Arabidopsis thaliana: one gene and its partners. The protein of the gene in region 1 interacts with the protein of each later gene in a pairwise test. Each region holds a gene or a part of one and is shown on either strand. Other genes may lie near its edges. The genes, in order: PIP3, AT5G61630, ELIP2 and AT2G17972.

The links.
Region 2: the proteins of PIP3 (region 1) and AT5G61630 interact in a protein complementation assay, tested with the Arabidopsis thaliana proteins (one large-scale study listed by BioGRID).
Region 3: the proteins of PIP3 (region 1) and ELIP2 interact in a protein complementation assay, tested with the Arabidopsis thaliana proteins (one large-scale study listed by BioGRID).
Region 4: the proteins of PIP3 (region 1) and AT2G17972 interact in a protein complementation assay, tested with the Arabidopsis thaliana proteins (one large-scale study listed by BioGRID).

The regions. Positions count from the first base shown.
Region 1 is NC_003075.7:16,706,059-16,711,105, forward strand, and holds PIP3 (plasma membrane intrinsic protein 3), read left to right. Parts: upstream 1-2,302; 5' UTR 2,303-2,613; coding exon 2,614-2,899; intron 2,900-2,991; coding exon 2,992-3,287; intron 3,288-3,546; coding exon 3,547-3,687; intron 3,688-3,780; coding exon 3,781-3,900; 3' UTR 3,901-4,349; downstream 4,350-5,047. UniProt on the Arabidopsis thaliana protein: Water channel required to facilitate the transport of water across cell membrane. May be involved in the osmoregulation in plants under high osmotic stress such as under a high salt condition.
Region 2 is NC_003076.8:24,772,013-24,776,418, reverse strand, and holds AT5G61630 (uncharacterized protein), read left to right. Parts: upstream 1-1,840; 5' UTR 1,841-1,916; coding exon 1,917-2,160; intron 2,161-2,416; coding exon 2,417-2,616; 3' UTR 2,617-2,911; downstream 2,912-4,406. Other genes in the region: PMSR1 (peptidemethionine sulfoxide reductase 1), read right to left, coding at 272-523, 956-1,393; AT5G61620 (myb-like transcription factor family protein), read right to left, coding at 2,912-3,334, 3,433-3,644, 3,718-4,036.
Region 3 is NC_003075.7:8,416,286-8,420,489, forward strand, and holds ELIP2 (Chlorophyll A-B binding family protein), read left to right. Parts: upstream 1-1,956; 5' UTR 1,957-2,087; coding exon 2,088-2,222; intron 2,223-2,316; coding exon 2,317-2,418; intron 2,419-2,499; coding exon 2,500-2,844; 3' UTR 2,845-3,040; downstream 3,041-4,204. Other genes in the region: AT4G14695 (Uncharacterized protein family (UPF0041)), read left to right, coding at 3,548-3,602, 3,825-3,923, 4,010-4,062, 4,160-4,204. UniProt on the Arabidopsis thaliana protein: Probably involved in the integration of pigments into the mature light-harvesting pigment-protein complexes.
Region 4 is NC_003071.7:7,819,307-7,823,421, forward strand, and holds AT2G17972 (uncharacterized protein), read left to right. Parts: upstream 1-2,278; 5' UTR 2,279-2,317; coding exon 2,318-2,794; 3' UTR 2,795-2,931; coding exon of another isoform or gene 2,932-2,989; 3' UTR 2,990-3,024; downstream 3,025-4,115. Other genes in the region: AT2G17970 (2-oxoglutarate (2OG) and Fe(II)-dependent oxygenase superfamily protein), read right to left, coding at 1-119, 206-277, 383-693, 786-871, 959-1,552, 1,820-1,970; AT2G17975 (zinc finger (Ran-binding) family protein), read right to left, coding at 2,932-2,989, 3,092-3,172, 3,281-3,408, 3,503-3,576, 3,684-3,714, 3,800-4,068.

The DNA of each region.
Region 1 (5,047 bases):
GGTAATCAAATGTAGTGACCGTTGGAGGGGGAATCGGAAAAAGGAATTGCGAGAAACGAGGACCATTATTTAAAAGGATGGAAAAAGACAGATGTTTATGGATCGTTCTAGCCGTTACCAGATACGATACACGTGGGATGATCTGTATGGATTAACGAAGAGATCTGACCTGTCTTTTGCCAAACTGATGTGGAAATTGTGACCTGGATGTTTTAGAGATAAAGATTGGCTGCCCCTTGTGGTAGGTCAGTCCCTTTCTCTGAACTATATAATATACTCAATTTAATTTAACTAGACTAGTTGAAATTGTTGAAGTTCGCTAACCATAATGTACAAAAATCCTTCATGTTCCGGGAAAATAAATCATAATTAACGATAGGTATAGTAGCAGCAAAGATAAGATGGTGATCCATTCTCACATGCAATGATTCGGATGAAGTTTAGCCAAATATTATTATTATCCAACCTCTTCTGCACCACGAAGAGACTTTATTTACGTAATATATTTGATGGTCCAGTACTACTATCCAGACATTATTGTTTTCGTTTCCAAATCATAAAACTTGAAATCTTATTGATTACTACTAGGGTCGATATCTCACTATTTGGAAACCGCAGGCTCCCTATTTATTAGTTTCAAACTCAATTGAAATGAAAATGTGTATTGGTGGTTTTAATGTTTGCACTGCGTAATGTTGCCTGAACTGTATATTTAATAAATTTACCACAACTTAGCAGATATAATTTTGTTATACGAAATCGTATAGTCTTCTTCATGGACAAAGAGGAAGGCAATCATCATTTTCTATGATTGCTCATCGACCTGGCATTTCCATTACCAAAGGCAGCATAATATCAAATCAAATATTTCTTTGTCGTACTTTACTTGAATTAATGATATTATCGTGGGTCGACTTAGGAAGTAAAGTTACTTCCATTTCATATATCTAAATCACATTTGCGTAAAATTTAAGTATTACACAAAGTGATAAAGTAAATTAAGTAATAATTGGCTAGGGATATTAACAAAATAAATAATTTTGATTAGGGCTACGAGGATAAGGACAAACGTCGTATTAACGTATAAAAAATGTGAAAGGAAAAGAGTAAACTAAGCTTTAGATATTAACACTCATTACGGGATTCCTAAATTGCCAGCACTTCGGATTATCCGTCAGTCCACTATTTATGCTAGTTTTTCTTTTCCTTGTGAGCTTGCACTATGGATTTTTCTTTATGCAATTCTCAATCTAAATGACCATTAAACTTTAGAAAAAAATGACCATTAAGTTTTAATGTACATTTGTATCAACTTTCTAATATGCCACGTCCGTATTGCTATATACAAACATAACCATTCAAATTAATATGGCTCTCTCAAAGGAAAAAAATAAAAGGAATAGCAAATGAGTAGATAAATTTTTTGATCAAAAAGAATAAGATGCACTAGTATTAGTATATACTCCCATACATCATTTAACCAAATTTTAAAATTGATTATAATCCATAAATAGTCTTCAAATTTCAACGACAAACACATTAATGTGAGTATAAATTAGCATAGACTACTATATAGTTTATATGCGGGGTGAATGTTTGTCTATACAAGTTTCGTCAAAAAAACGGCACCAACCATAATTAATAGACTCTTATCTTTTGCTGGTATATGAACTCTTTTTAAAAATTGCCGCGAATATACCTTCTTCGTAGATTATTAATCTTTTTCATGTACAGTTGCCTTTAGCAGATTATCATATGTTACAAACATTTGACCTAATTTGAAAAAATGTTACCAAAAAAGATTTGGAAAAAAAGACAAAGATATTGAGATAACCGTTGAAGAGAGTTTGGGATGACAGGCTGACGAGAAAACCATACACCTCATTTCTATCATTAACCCTCACATGGCTTATCTGTACATCTGGACCCCACCACCTTCTACTTTTATCTCCCATTTTTTTTTTCAAATTATTACTACCCAAAAAAATATTCAACAAACCTACAAAAACACATGTCTTATTTTTATTTATTTAAACATTTGTGTATTTATCCCATTGTTCCATATTTATTAGTAGGAAAAATATTCACATTTTACAGAACTGCAAAAGATTTGGCCATGCAAATTATACCCCACTTTGATTGCTATTTTATACACTATATCATACAGTACAAGAACAAAAATTTGATTGGGCCAGTAATAATGCATATAACTATTGATGTTAGCAAGAGAAAAAAATGCATTAAAACACAAATTTGACTATTATTTTGCAGGAACATTCGTGATAATTTTGACTATTATTTTGTCAGTAATAATGCATATTAATCGTATGTGATTTTAACTAAAACTGGAAAGTTCCAAGGAACATTTAGTAGTTTATATTTTTAGTACTAAGTTAGTTTAGAGGGTTATTAACTATTTAATCGTACTAATAATGATTATAAGCAGAATTATGTAGACTATACAAATAGTACGTAATACCGAAAGTACCCTTGGTTTATCCCTGGCATTACAAGGGTTTCCTTTTTCCCCTTTAAAATGGCAGAAGAGATACACTGTCGTCGTCACACAGCACCACAAACTCCATAGCTAGCTAGAGAGTAAAAAGAACAAAGATGTCGAAAGAAGTGAGCGAAGAAGGCAAAACCCACCATGGAAAAGACTACGTGGATCCTCCACCAGCTCCTCTTCTCGACATGGGTGAGCTCAAATCCTGGTCTTTCTACAGAGCTCTCATCGCTGAGTTCATCGCTACACTCCTCTTCCTCTACGTCACCGTCGCTACTGTCATCGGCCACAAGAAGCAAACCGGTCCTTGTGACGGCGTTGGTTTACTTGGTATCGCTTGGGCTTTCGGTGGTATGATCTTCGTCCTCGTCTACTGCACCGCCGGTATCTCTGGTAAGTTTGAATCCCACCAAAAACCCTAACTTTTACTTGTTTGGTTCGTTGGTTTTATTGTTAATCTCGTTCTTGTTCTCGTCTTCTCGTAGGTGGTCACATTAACCCAGCTGTGACTTTCGGTCTGTTCTTGGCCCGTAAGGTCTCTTTGGTGCGAGCTCTTGGTTACATGATAGCTCAGTGTCTTGGAGCCATTTGTGGTGTGGGTTTCGTGAAAGCTTTCATGAAAACTCCTTACAACACTCTTGGTGGAGGAGCTAACACCGTAGCTGACGGTTACAGCAAAGGAACTGCTCTCGGAGCTGAGATTATTGGAACTTTCGTCCTTGTTTACACCGTTTTCTCTGCAACTGACCCTAAGAGAAGCGCTCGTGACTCTCACATCCCCGTAAGTCTCAAAAAGCTTGAATCTTTAATTGAGTTTTTTGACAAAGTTACTATGAATCTGATTGGGTCTTTGTAGATTATGATAAAGGTTGAATCTTTTTAGGATTTAATGATAAAGTTAGTATGAATATAAAATGGGTCTTTGTAGATTCTGATGAAGTTTGAATCTTTTTATGGTGTAATGACAAAGTATGTATGAATCTCTAAGGATCTTTACTTTGTAGATTCTGATAAAGTGTGGTGGGTTTTCTTGTGATTAGGTTTTGGCTCCACTTCCAATTGGATTTGCTGTGTTCATGGTGCATTTGGCTACTATCCCCATTACTGGAACTGGTATCAACCCAGCTAGAAGCTTTGGTGCTGCTGTTATCTACAACAACGAGAAGGCGTGGGATGACCAAGTAAGTGTTTAGTTATTATCTGGATTAGGTATTCACTAATCATTCATGACTTCATGTCCTAATGTTGGTTCTGTGTTGGTTTTGGTTTTGCAGTGGATCTTTTGGGTTGGTCCGTTCTTGGGAGCACTAGCTGCAGCAGCTTACCACCAATACATATTGAGAGCTTCAGCAATTAAGGCCTTGGGCTCGTTCCGAAGCAACGCAACCAATTAATGAAGGCTTTTTTTAAGATAATGTCAAGAAACAACTTTAAGATTTATATGCTTTAATTATTATTTGTTGTTCTTTTGTGTGTAATGAGAGAGATGGTGGATTGATGTTAATTATGAAATGGCTCAGTGACTTCTATTTCCTTCTTTAGTTTTTGATTGTCTTTGTTAATCGTTTGCCTTTGGTTTCTCTTAGTAGTTACAAATTCATGTTTTCTCTTCATGTCAGTTCGTAAATATCGAACAATCCAAGTTGGAATTTATTATTCACAACATCACAAGATCCTTCAATGTACATTATTACAGCTAGCGTCCAATTAAGATACAAATTTCGGCTGAACATGGTGTGTGGGTCTTTTGGTTATTATCCTCGTGTCGACTCTAAACCATCGGGTCATATGTAAACCATTCATTAATTGACACGTGTTGAGAAGGAAATATTGGATTCCATTTGCTATGTGGTTACATTTTCGTTAGTTGACAAGAAAACAACTATTTTCGCTCCATTTGCTTTAGTCTTTTTTTTCGATGTTACTTGTTAGAATTAGTATTGTTTTTAAAAGAAAAAGAACTCGTGCGAGTACCTTTTGTTGTTTTTGTGAAAGGATAAAAAGGAGTGGAGCCAATAGAGTTGTAACAACCAGACAAGAAACGAGACATTAAACCCATTTTTTCCACCGCACTCTAACTTTTCTTAGGCCGCGTGTCGCGTAGCTCATGTGTTTATCACATGGGTAACTTTTCTGCGTCTAGTTACCGTATTGTTATTGTTATTGTTATATAGTAGACTCCTTTTGGCTAAGAGTCTTTAGACCCACCCAAACGCATATGTGTTTGGATGTATTAGGAAATTATTTGTATAAAAGACTTTACCAACTTAATTGAATAATGCATTTGATTAAAGAGAGAAAAAAAAAAGAAAATGCTCATGGAAGCAATAAGCACTAAATTTGTCTATGGGATGTAAATTGCGACAGTGAGAGTTGGCTTTAAAATAGTATGAATACAAATACGAATTTGTCTACATGGAATAGTAGTAATAATTCACGTCTCGTCTTTTCAGAAAAGTGAATGCAGAGGAGACAGAGAGAGAGAGAAGGACCACAACGATGGCCTTCACGCTTTTACTGGTTAATACGCCTAGTGTCTCA
Region 2 (4,406 bases), on another chromosome or scaffold:
AGTACACTAACTAAAACTGATGCTGAGTAAAAGACACTAAAAAATCATTTTACGTTTTACTCAAACTAGTTTTGATGAATCTTACAAGAACAAATTCAATCGAGAACATCCAAACAATACTATATACCTAAAGGATTGAACACTTAAAAAGTTTTATGAACAAGAACAAGTTACATAAGTAGCCTCGGCTTCTTTATTTTTCAACGATAATTGCTATAATCTATCATAGATAAGTGGAAGCATCCTCTGCTTTCGGTTAGAAGCAAGGCTTTTACCCGTAGCAGCGGATTGGGTCGTTGCAGCCTTTTTCCGTTGATTGCTTAAGACCAAACCTCCCTCCTTTAGACAAGTATTGCTGGTGATGTTCCTCAGCTCTATAAAATTTCTTAGCCGGTAAGATCTCTGTCACAACCTTCCTGTCAACTTGTTGCTGGTGCCGCTCCAGTGACTCGCGTGCTAGTTTCTCTTGCTCCGGGTTGTAGAAATATATCCCTGAACGGTATTGGGTTCCCACATCATTTCCCTGATCAGATAAGGATGTACTCATTAAAACAGAGAAACAAATTCGAACATAATGCACGACAAGCAGATAAACTACCAAATAAATAGTGATTCTGCATAAGAGCTGGTTAAGTGCTCTCTAAGAAACTACCAAAATACACATAAGGATGGTTCAGTGACCAAAGATGACAAGAACGATAGCCAAATTCACATCCTTATCAAAGAGAAGATGTATGAGTCTCTCTGTTCAGTTTCAAACATAAAACCTAAATTTTGTACCAACAGAACATGAAATGAATCCAAAGTATTACATCATCCAAACCCTAGATTTCAATCTATTTAGAGCTCAATATTTCAAGCAAGCCCTAGAAACCCTAGAAATCTTCCTCAATCACCAAAATCAAAACTTAAAACTCACAAAATCAGACATTCTAAAGAGCAAAACTTTCGTTACCTGCCGATTCAAAGTGGTGGGATCATGCTTAGACCAGAACAAATCAAGCAGCGACTGGTAACTACACTCTTTTGGATCATATTGAACACGAACAATCTCGGCATGATTCGTGGTACCTGAACAAACATCTTTGTAAGAAGGATCGTGAGTGATCCCTTGAGAATAACCAACCTCTGTTTGAGTCACTCCTGGAACTCTCTGGTACGCTAATTCCACGCTCCAGAAACAACCGGCGCCGAATTGAGTAAACTGGTTTCCCGGCGCCGGAGCTTCGTCGTCGATTACTTGTGCGATTGGAGAAGGATCCATGTTGGTTTGTCTACTTGATCCTATACCTAGCTTGTTAAGTATGTTCATGGAGAAATTTTGTAGAGAGAGCGAAACAGAGAAACAGAGGAAAGTGGTGAAGAGGAAACGTCGGCTGATTCTGCGGAACATTTTGTACCAAATTCTGACAGGTATAAAATTCGCGTTTGCGTTTACGTTTTGAATAACGATAAAAATAATTTTAGAAACCAGTTTTGGTTGACATTTCATTCAAGCAGTTCAAATTGACAATCTTTAAAATCTTTTTTTTTTTTTTTTTTTTAATCTTTAAAATCTTAAAACTAAGATTAGTTAGTTTCAAGCATGATCAAATCATATGTTTATAAAATGTCACAGAAATAGAAGAAGAAAACAAAGAATCTAAAGAAATGGTTGTTTTTGTCACTCTCAAATGGAAAAATGAGTGATTAGATTGAACGATTTGACAAAGTCCTTATTTCGATCCAAATGTACCAAAACCATAGGCTCTAAATTCGCAATTCAATCCGGATTCTTTTTTCTTCTAAGAAATAAAAAACTGTGACTAAAATGTAACAAAGAAACTGATTAAGCTCAAAAACCATCAACATCCTAAAAACGTAATTTCTATAGAGTTTTTGGAACACACCTATCAAAACCAAAAATACTTATCAAAATGTATAGATCCGCGAGCTGGAACCGAGTGCCAGAAGACTACTCATCCGCACCGCCTAAGGGATTGTGGATGGGCTCGGTGATCGGTCCCCTCGACGAGAACGAACTACCTTCCTACAATAATCCACCAGAGGAGATGGTTAAGAAGGAGAAGTCACGTGCCAAATTCGCAGAAAACGCCATTCACATCATACCATTTGTTCTCCTTGCATGCGCTCTCGTACTTTGGCTCTTCTCAAATCCAGGTATATACAATTAGTGAGCCAAAAACATGCTTGTGTTTGATCAAACCATGCCCGGTTTTAAAGTGAAAGAAAAAACATGCATGTTGTTAACCACGAACTCATCCGCAATAATCCAACATGATCAAATTGGATTGCAAATGGTAGAGAGATCATGTCTGCATTTGGCGGTTGTGAAGTTGGGAAATATTTTATGTAACTGTTACATGTTGATACTTTATTCTTTGTGGCACTTATAACATCGATCCAAATTTTGAAGATGTGGATGTTGGGATGAGAGAAGAATCTATTGCGGCTAAGATTGAAGGATTGACGATCGAAGGAGACATCGACAATGATAGCGATGGAACTCAGACCGGTTTCTTGGGTGCCACCTTAGAACTCGGAGATCCTGACAAACCAAACCTCACTGATAGAACCAGACGAGCTTCTAGGAAATTGATCAAAGGATTTTACTAGTTAATCAACACCATTTTTTTAATTTTCTCCCAATGAATGTTGATTTTACTCAATAAACTTCACCAAAACTAAGATTTTTTTTGTTTTGTTTTTGGTTGATAAAGAAGCAGCTAAATATAAATCCAAATATATCTATATTCTTATTTAATCTAATCTGGGAAGAAATAAAAATGATACATAATCCGATTGGCAAAACTTTTGAATATGGAGCTATATATTCAAATAAAACTCAACACCAAAAAAAAGAAGCAATATACCTATATCATGCTTAAATAAACACACAAAAAATGAGATTTCATTTCACATGAATAACGCCATGACCAGTCAAGTCAGAAGCTCCAGTAGCTTGTGGAGGCAAACCGATATGAAGATCCAAACCGTCTTTATTTGTCATATTAGAAGCTTCACTCGGTTGAGACAGAGGCAAACCAATCGGTATATGTCTTGGAACAGGTATACCAGAAGGATGAACAAACCTAACCGGTACTTGAGGGTTGGCATAGTACATTGGATAATTTGGATGGTACATAATAGGTGGAAAGTTGTAGTAAGGTGGTATGGGTTGGTAGATTGGCATATACTCCATTGATAAATTCTGAAACCTGTTCGAAATCTCGGTTTGAGTATGACCTTGTACTACCGGTTGTTGAATTCCGGTTATTGGTTGTTTAGGTGGAGTCTTTGTTGAAGCATCTTGAGAGTTCCTCTCTTTCTCCTTCTGTTTAATGAAAAAACAATTAAACCCTAAATTAAAAAATAGCCCTAGACAAATCAATTGACTCAATGGATTACTTGAGAAACAAGGTAAATAAGTACCTGATCTTCGAGAGAGATGTCAAAGAGACTAGCACGTCTTTTTCTCTTGTCGTTAACGTTTAACCTAATAAAATATTTCTGAGCATGACTTGCGACTTGTGTTGGTGTTCTTGTCGACACGAAACTCTTTGCAATGCCTCTCCAATCTCCTTTTCCGAGTTTGTTTAAACCGATTAAGAAATTACGATGTTCTTCTTCCGTCCATGGCTTCCCTGAATTTGATTTATTCTTATTAATTTCATTGAATTTAGATTATCAAATTGATGAGATTAGAAGATTACGTACCCTTTTTCTTCTCATGAGCAGTTTTACCCTTCTTGGAATGAATCTGACCATCGGAATGATAACCGGTATCATCAACGGCGGCGATAGGATCACCGCTACCGTTACTTTCATCGTTAGCGAGAAGAGCATCAAGGTTTCCCAAACTAAGACTCTTCCTTAACGCCGTTACCTCAGGCGGCCTAATCGGATCAGACGATATATTAACGCCGAACAGTTTAACACTTGCCTTATTAACGCCGTTGAGACAAGTCCGTGCGTTATGGCCATTATGGCCACAGTGTGAGCACGTTTTCGCCACCGTCACCGTCTCCTTCACCATCTCTCTCTCGCCACCAATGTTTTCGGTATCACAAGAATTAGAATCACAAGATCTCGCTAATTGTATTTATACCTTAAACTCTCTTGTGTAATGATATATATATATATATATATATATATATATATGCGGATATGCGTGAGCTGTTATTTGTGAATGTCCTTGGTGTTTTTACATTTTTTTATTTTCCTTAAGAGATAAAGCGTTTCCTTAATTATCTTGTTTTATTTGGAAGTTTTTACCCAAGTCATTATAAGGAAAAATCCAGCAGAATCAGCGTAGGATCATAATCGACGGTTAACATTTTCTTAAGATAGGATTCGTGGAAAATCAGCCGTTAGATTGTTTTCCAGGTAAACATGTACTGGATATT
Region 3 (4,204 bases), 8.3 Mb from region 1:
CAAAATGGGCCACATAATATTTATTTATTTAGTGATTCTGTCGTTTAAAAAAAAATTAGTTTAACACATTGTCAAAGTTTGAACTAAGGAACTTGTAACTCAAATACTGAAACTTTAACCATTAGACTACATTTTTATGCAAATTCGGCCAAAACTAAATAATAATATGATTAGCGGCCGCAAGCTTATGTTTTGCTTGCTTGGCCTTGTGGCCGGCTAAATAACCTAAGTATATAATCAATAAATTACATAAACGACCGGATAAATCAGAACTTAATTATAATGTTAAAAGTAATTAAATGAATGATGACCCTCGTCGTCTCTCCTCTTAAAACACAATAATCTCATAAATACAATTTTTATATGAAGTCTTCACAAACTACTATAAATTTCCCAAAGTTGTTCTCTCTCTTTGTCCACTCGAAGACTCATGGGGATAAGAAGGCACTCGTGTTATGGGCTTCGGGGCTTTTTATTGTTCGCCCTTTCGAGGACCTTCTCACATGTTTGGACTTTTGAGTCTAAATGCCTTATTTCCTCACGAATGACGTGAACATTTTTTCGTCCTGAACTCAAAAGTATCAATTACACACTTCACACTACTAATGGTCAAGTTTTTTCGTATTTGAAACTACAAATGTAAGTAATATATGCGATAAATTTATTATCCTCTGCTAGTAAAATCCATTAAAAAAAACTACCAATGTGGGTGTATGTTTTCTTTCAGTATATATAAAGAGTTTTCGCAGAGAGCACATATCGATGGTGGTACATCAAATCTGATCATTCATATCTAAATAATTGTTGTTGAGTTTTCTATATGTGTGGAACGTTAGATTGCTTAAGCTAGAAATTGACACAAGAGTTTGATCACCGAGTTCCTGCCTCCTGGCCTCTAACCGGTACGTCTCGGGTGGGAACTGTCTCCCACAACTTTTCACTATCAAGCAAAAAGTATTACAAGCACTAATAGAGGTTTCTCTTCTCCTTGTTACAAATTTAGAAATTAACTCACACACAAAAGACAATAGAAAAGGAGACTATACCGACACGAAGACTATGCCCATATCTTCACAATTGTGCTATTATTTACCGTTCTAATCTGGAAAAAAAAACAGCGCACGTAGGAGAATTGGGCACGAAGACATGAATGGGACACATAAAGGATCAAAAGAGTCATCATGGGTCTGCCATGATGAAAGTTAAGAAAGTTCCAATACGCGCGAAACAAGATTGAATGCGACTTCTCTCTATACCAAAAACGAATCTCCCAAGTCCCAAGTGAATATTGTGAGCCACTAACTTGTTATTAACATTTTGAGACAAAAAAAAAATTTGTACGTGTTTTTGCCAAACCCACTTGGCCATGACCAATCAGAAAAAGACAAGGAAGATGTGTATCTATGTGTAATGAGGAGGCCACGCCATCAGTTTACTTGCACTTTTCCAACTAGACGTGGCCTCTCACCGATCTCAACCTCACTTTCCTCTCATTTCTCAAATTTTATTGGCTACGTGTTTTTGTGTTTAGCGTTCAACCCAAATATCGATATATTCTTCTTTTTTTTTCACATTTTTAACGATTTCGAGCAAAATAATTCGATTTATTTGTATAATTTTAATATGGTAGTTTTACAAATAATGAAACGAATGACCAACTGATTTGTTAGGTGTTACAATAAATATGGAAAAAATCTCATAAGTTTGAAAACATTTATTCTGAGGAAACTTTTTCTTCCCCAAAAGAAAAAAAAAGTTTAAAGTGGAAAAAAGAAAAAAAAGGAATAAAAAGTTTGAATTCAGTTTTTTTCTTTTCTTTGATAGATTTCTTTCTACTTATTTATTACTCTACTACACACCACACAAAAACAAAAATAAAATAAGTAATCATAGTATCCCATAAATCAGTAAAGATAAATAAAATCCAGAAAATACTGGGCCTATCATTTTCCTTCACCAACTCTATAAATGAAGAGATAATCCTACAGTTACACCTCAAACCAACTCCATCTCACTTCTCAAGTCTTATAATTTATTCATTTCTCTCTTCTTCATCGATCTTCGGCTTTTAGAAAACCTAATCAGAAATGGCAACGGCGTCGTTTAACATGCAGTCAGTGTTCGCTGCTCCTTCCGGTGTATTGACTACACGCAACATCAGAAACACAAACCAACTCTTCTTCAAGAGGATTGCTCCGGTAGGAGTCAGATGCATGGCTCAGGTATATATACACTAACCTCATAGTCCTTCCACTTCCCTACGTTACTTATTTGACTTTTAATCCTGACCGTTCCTTACATTGACTATTTTTTTAGGGCGATCCTATCAAGGAAGATCCTTCTGTGCCCTCGACCTCGACTTCGGCCACTCCACCACAAATGCCACAGTCTCCTCCTCCACCAGTTAGCAAGCCTAAGGTATGATCTAATGATCAAAGTCATTAATATATATCACTAGCTAAAAAAATGAAGCTAATGAATAATTTTCTTATTGTCTAGGTGAGTACGAAGTTTGGAGATTTGCTAGCGTTTAGCGGTCCAGCACCCGAGAGGATCAACGGGAGACTAGCAATGGTTGGATTCGTGGCGGCCATCGCCATGGAGTTATCAAAGGGAGAAAACGTGTTTGCTCAGATCTCTGACGGTGGTGTCGGGTGGTTTCTAGGAACAACAGCGTTGTTGACGTTGGCATCGATGGTTCCGTTGTTCAAGGGAATAAGGGCAGAGGCAAAGTCAAAAGGGTTCATGACTTCAGACGCCGAGCTATGGAACGGTCGGTTTGCGATGCTCGGTCTCGTTGCGTTGGCCTTCACCGAGTACGTCACTGGTGGGACTCTAGTCTAAAGCTAAAGCTTTTTGTTTGCTAGTTTAAGGACAAATTTGGAGAATGATTATGTAACGCATAGATTGATTTAATACTATGAGTTTTAAACAGTGTGTCAACATGAATCAAAATTTAAAACCATGAAAAAAACATTATAAAAATTTATTTGAAAAAGTACTTCAAAAGTTTTCTTATAAGATAATGTGAATGGAGAAGAAGAAGTAAAAAATAAATTTTAGCTTCTATCCAAGGTTTGAGAGTTTATGCATTCTTTTGAAATGAATCAAGAGCCAAGAATAATTAATTATGCTCTTCCTTGTTATTATCGACCAATAGAGTCATCATGTGTCTGCCATAATGAAAGTAAAGCAAGTTCCAAGACGAAACGAAATTGAATGCGATTTCTCTCTAACAAATCACCTCATCTCAATTCTCAAGCCCATGGGTTAGTCTCATCAAAGCCCAATCAAAGCGTCAATGCTTCCCAAGAACAAAAAAAAATATATTAAGATGAACAAACAAAAAAACACTTAAAAGAGGAAAGATCTGGCCACTACAACACTACACGATAGTACGATCGATGAATATAATCGGAAAGATTTGAGTGGCTCAATTACATATTGCTTATACGACGTCGTTTTGAGTAGCATCATTTCGTTAATATTTATGTAGGAGACTGAAACAAGACAGAGAAAAGAGAATCTCCGAGGAAAACAAAAGTTGATGGCGACGTCTAAGCTTCAAGCTCTCTGGAATCACCCGGCAGGACCAAAGACAAGTGAGTTATCACATTGTTTCATCAATAATATATTACTCTTTCTTCTTCCGTTTCAATTAAGACTCTATTGAAACGTTACTATTGGAAAATGTTGAATTGTTTATAGTACAGTTCTTGACAAAAAAAAATCTATATCACTTTAAATCCTCTAATGAATAATATATTCTAATTGTAAACAGTTTCTCTCTTTTTTTGTTGTTGTTGTTGTTGGGTATTAATCAGTTCATTTCTGGGCTCCAACATTTAAGTGGGGTATAAGCATTGCTAACATTGCAGATTTCCAGAAACCTCCAGAAAATATTTCGTACCTTCAGCAAATTGGTAAATAACTACTACTCTTCAGAAATCTCTAATCTTTCTTGTTACAATTATTGTTATAAACATATTATCCATAATTATTGTATTAGCTGTGACATGCACTGGAATGATTTGGTGTCGTTGCAGCACTATAATTACTCCTGTAAGTTTTGTTTGCTTTTCGAGTTTTACTTTTGTGATTGGATTCTTGGTTTTGGTTTATCGATCTGATTCTTTGGACTTTTGTTTTTTTTTAACAGAAAAACTGGAACCTGTTTAGTGTTAATGTTGCTATGGCAGCTACA
Region 4 (4,115 bases), on another chromosome or scaffold:
AAGTAGAACCAGACCGGTTCAGGTCCAATGGCAATGGCTCAATCCCTTGCAAATCAGGCTCTGGGGTGAACCAAACCGGGCGTTTCGACTCATCCATTTTCCTAAATGTAATTGATATCCTGTTGAATAGAACCGGGAAGAAACATACTCATAAGAGAAAAAATGTTTGTTTATAGAAGAAAATTGATGCAACAATATTTATAACCTTTTTGTAGGAACTGCAGGTACACAGTGCTTAGCTACATCAGCTCCATTTCCATTTAACACCAGAACTGATCTGATAAATATGAAAATATCCAAAAAAAACAGTCTTTGATTTCATACTATTCGACAAGGAATGGCCGAAAGTTTTGAAACTGGGAATTCTTACGAACTTGCTTACCCCACAGGAAGCGGTATTGAGTATGAACCCGAGAAGTCACCAGGACCCTCAACTTTCAGGTTTGAGCCAAAGAGGATATCGCATTCACTGAGGAAAGAGATGGTACAGAAGGGACGGAGAAAGTCGTGGTTGTCGATGTGAGGAGGTATGCAGTCACCTTCATCATAGATGTTCACAATGCAGCTATCGGGCACACAAGTTGGAGGCAGTACATGCCATTTAATCAACTTTCTAATGATTACTTTGAAAAGATGAGGTAGTGGATCCACTTCTTCACGTTGAAGGATACCCGGTGGGTTTCCAGCTCTGTCCTATCAACCCAAAATACAAGAAGGCAAAACTCTTAACTCCTTTTTTAAGAATGAAACAGATTAATGAAAGTATGACAGAGAACGTTACTTACTGGAGCGTAGTTGTAGCAACAGCCAAATTGTATAGTCTCACGTCCTTTTCCTCTCATCCACTTATGTGGAGCAGTAAATGTACGCTCTACAGAGAGAGAACAAGACAAGATTCAGATTAAAAATAGGTCACAAGTTAAGATAAGAGCATTTTCAGATCAAAACAAGAAGTTACTTTTAAGTTCTCCTCTTCGTCCCTTCTCTTGAAGTTGATACACTTGATCAACAATCCGTTTCTGCTCCACTGCGCTAAAAACACCAGTGTGCAACTCAAGTCCATCAAGCACGTTAACAATCTTTCCCTTAACTCTCTCCAAGCAAATAAAGTCTTTCTTTCTCTTCACATTAATCAGCCTGAGATTCTCTCTCTGATCTCTAGACAACTTAGGCTTCTCTGGAGTCTTCATCGAACTCGCATCAAAACCTTTCCTACTCGAATCCCTCTCCTCTTCCTCCTCCTCCTCCTCCTCATCGAACTCATCCTCTTGTGCCATATCAGCCCAACGCATACGAGGGCTTGCTGTTTCAACAACAGCTGGTCTAGATTGCAATACACTACTAAAATCTTCAGGAAAGGAACCAAATACAATTTCACTTCCCTTCCAACTACCTAACGAATGATTATCACAGTCTTCGCCATTTTCCGACTTCTCATCATAATTATCATCCACATTGTTACTAGCTCTTTCTGATCCCATATTTTCCACCACTGAACAAGAACCAGTTTTACACTCTCCATCAACTTTGTCAGTGTTGTTACTACAATGTGCTACACATATGGAAACATGATTTCTCATAAGCAACTCCACATCATAACTTAATTCACAAATTTAGAAACGTACTTGCTACTCTCTCGCCTCCTATTTGTTCCAATTACCAAACCCTAATTTTGTAACCTTATCATTTAGCAGAACATCAATCAAAAAAGCAGAATCAAGTACAATAATGAAGAAAATCTCCGCTTTCTATACAGAATTTCAATATCCATAGAAACCAGAAAGTCTCTCGCCTCTAAGAAAAAGTTGAGAATCGTTACCTGGGTCAAGAGAACGGATTCGATTGGAGAGAAGGTGATTACAATCCTTGCATAGATCTTTAGATAAAAAAGGAAGCCAATTCGTCAGAAACTCCGAAGCGATCTTAAGCTCCGACGGCTGGTACTGCCGGAGAAATGGATCGTTTTCCATGAGATACGCTCGATACAATCCAAATCTAGTACTCTTGTTACAGAAAATTCAAATTTCCTAGTCCACGATTTGAAATCTAGTACTCTTTTGTCAGTGTGGATTCTGTGACGGTACACTTGTAAATTCTAGTATTAACCAAACAAGGGTAATATCGGTATTTAAGCAGCCAATTAAAGCTCTTGGGCCGTTTAAAATTCTTAAAAGCCCATTAATTTCGAAACGCCACCTGTCGAGACATAATTGGGTCAGAGGATTTTAACGGTGGAAGATGAAGAAGCTTATCTTTTTGCAAAATCGTTTCTTCCTTCATTCATCATAGCTTCAAAATCTTAAAAACAACAACAAAAATGAAAAGTCTCCACTTTTTAGCTCCCAATTCAACGATTATCAATCTGAAGCAACAATCTTATACAAAAACCAAGTTCCAGTTGCATCGTAGCAACAGAAGAACTCTATCGATAAACTGCGTAAACAGTGGCGGTGATGAAGAGAAGATTACTCAGCCGTTGGATGGAGTGGAGATAAGATTCAAAAGAGGATCCAGAAGGAAAATGAGGGAAGAGGGTTCAGGAGAAGGAGGAGGACAAAGCGGGAAGAAAAAAGAGACTGTTCAAAAGCCATGGGAAGAGATGACATTGAATGAGAAGGCATTGGAGCTTTATGTTGGAGAGAAAGGTTTGTTGTTTTGGCTAAACAAATTGGCTTACGCGTCGATATACATTGTCATTGGAGGTTGGATTTTTTTCCGGTTTGTTGGACCGGCGTTTAATCTTTATCAACTCGATACACCGCCTCTTGATCCTAAGAACATCTTAAAGGGTTAAGAAATGCTTTGTAGCTGTGTCTGCATTCTCTGTTCCAAAACATTTTGAGGCTTATATATTCAAGTTAGTTTCGAGTAATGTGTAGCCATGTCTCACTAGATTAAGATACACAAGAGAACAACACTCTTCATGAATTTTCAAGATTGTTCTGTTGGAGTTATGTCCTGATCAAGGATATCTCGTGTAGTCTTGCACCTGACATGGAAAAGAAAATATTTTTTTCTTCGGCTTTTTGTTTACCTTAACTCAATGCAAAGAATCAGAATTATTAACTGAAAAAACTAGATTAAAACTCACCTATTGCACTCTGCTCGTGATGCATAATTGTGATTCTTGCAATTTGTACACATCCAGTCGCCATCACGCCATTGTTTCACTCTAAGAAATCAGACAACACAAAGAATTGGGAAGGTTGCAAAAGATCACGCCATTGTTCTAGCGTTTAGAAAACAAGAAAACAATGGAGACCAGAGATCAATACAGTACCCCATTCCAAGTAAAGCAGGTGTTGAGTGTTGTTGTAGAAACGGGAGAGGAAGTTGCCAATTTGAGACCCTTCCTAGGCTCATACCAGGAAAAGATGCATATATCGCTGACTGTGTTTGCATGCTTGTCTGCACAACGAGCCAGAAGAAACAGAGGTTGGTTAAGCAGCAAGTAAAATTGATGAATGTACTAATCAATTTATGCGCTCTAACTAATCCTTACATATCCTTGATTCAGTCTTTTGCTATCCCATTCATGAGCCAAAGCTTCTGATGCTAATCTCTTTGTACCAAGGGCTGCAACCCAAAATAAACTTTCCCATATTAAAACTCGTGAAAGGATTATCAGACACCTTCGGGTTATATAAGATTGCACGCGCATCGGTCTTAGACAAAAACCTTACCTAGTGGAGCTATTTCATTGCACTTTTTGCACTGCAGAGACATACAAAACAGAAATGAGTAAAACAACAAGCCGGAATCTGCAAGTCGGTTTTGCATTGTGAACCCATTTCCTCACCTGTATACGAGAGGAATAATTGTGAAAACCACATCTGCAAATCCAGTCACCACTCCTCCATTCTTTATGAACCGAAGCTTGATTTGTAGCGTTAGAGAATGCGAGTAAAGAACCAGGTTGATCATGTGACTCAGGTCCACGGGTGAAGTAATGGAGATGAGTTTGAAGAGAAGCTCCAGGGATAGCAAGTGCTGACAATGCTGCTACTTCCTTAGATTGCCCACATTTCTTGCACTTTTCTCGTGATGCATAATTGTTGTTAGTACAACCTATTGCCACACCACACCACACCACACACCCAAACGCAAAACGTAGA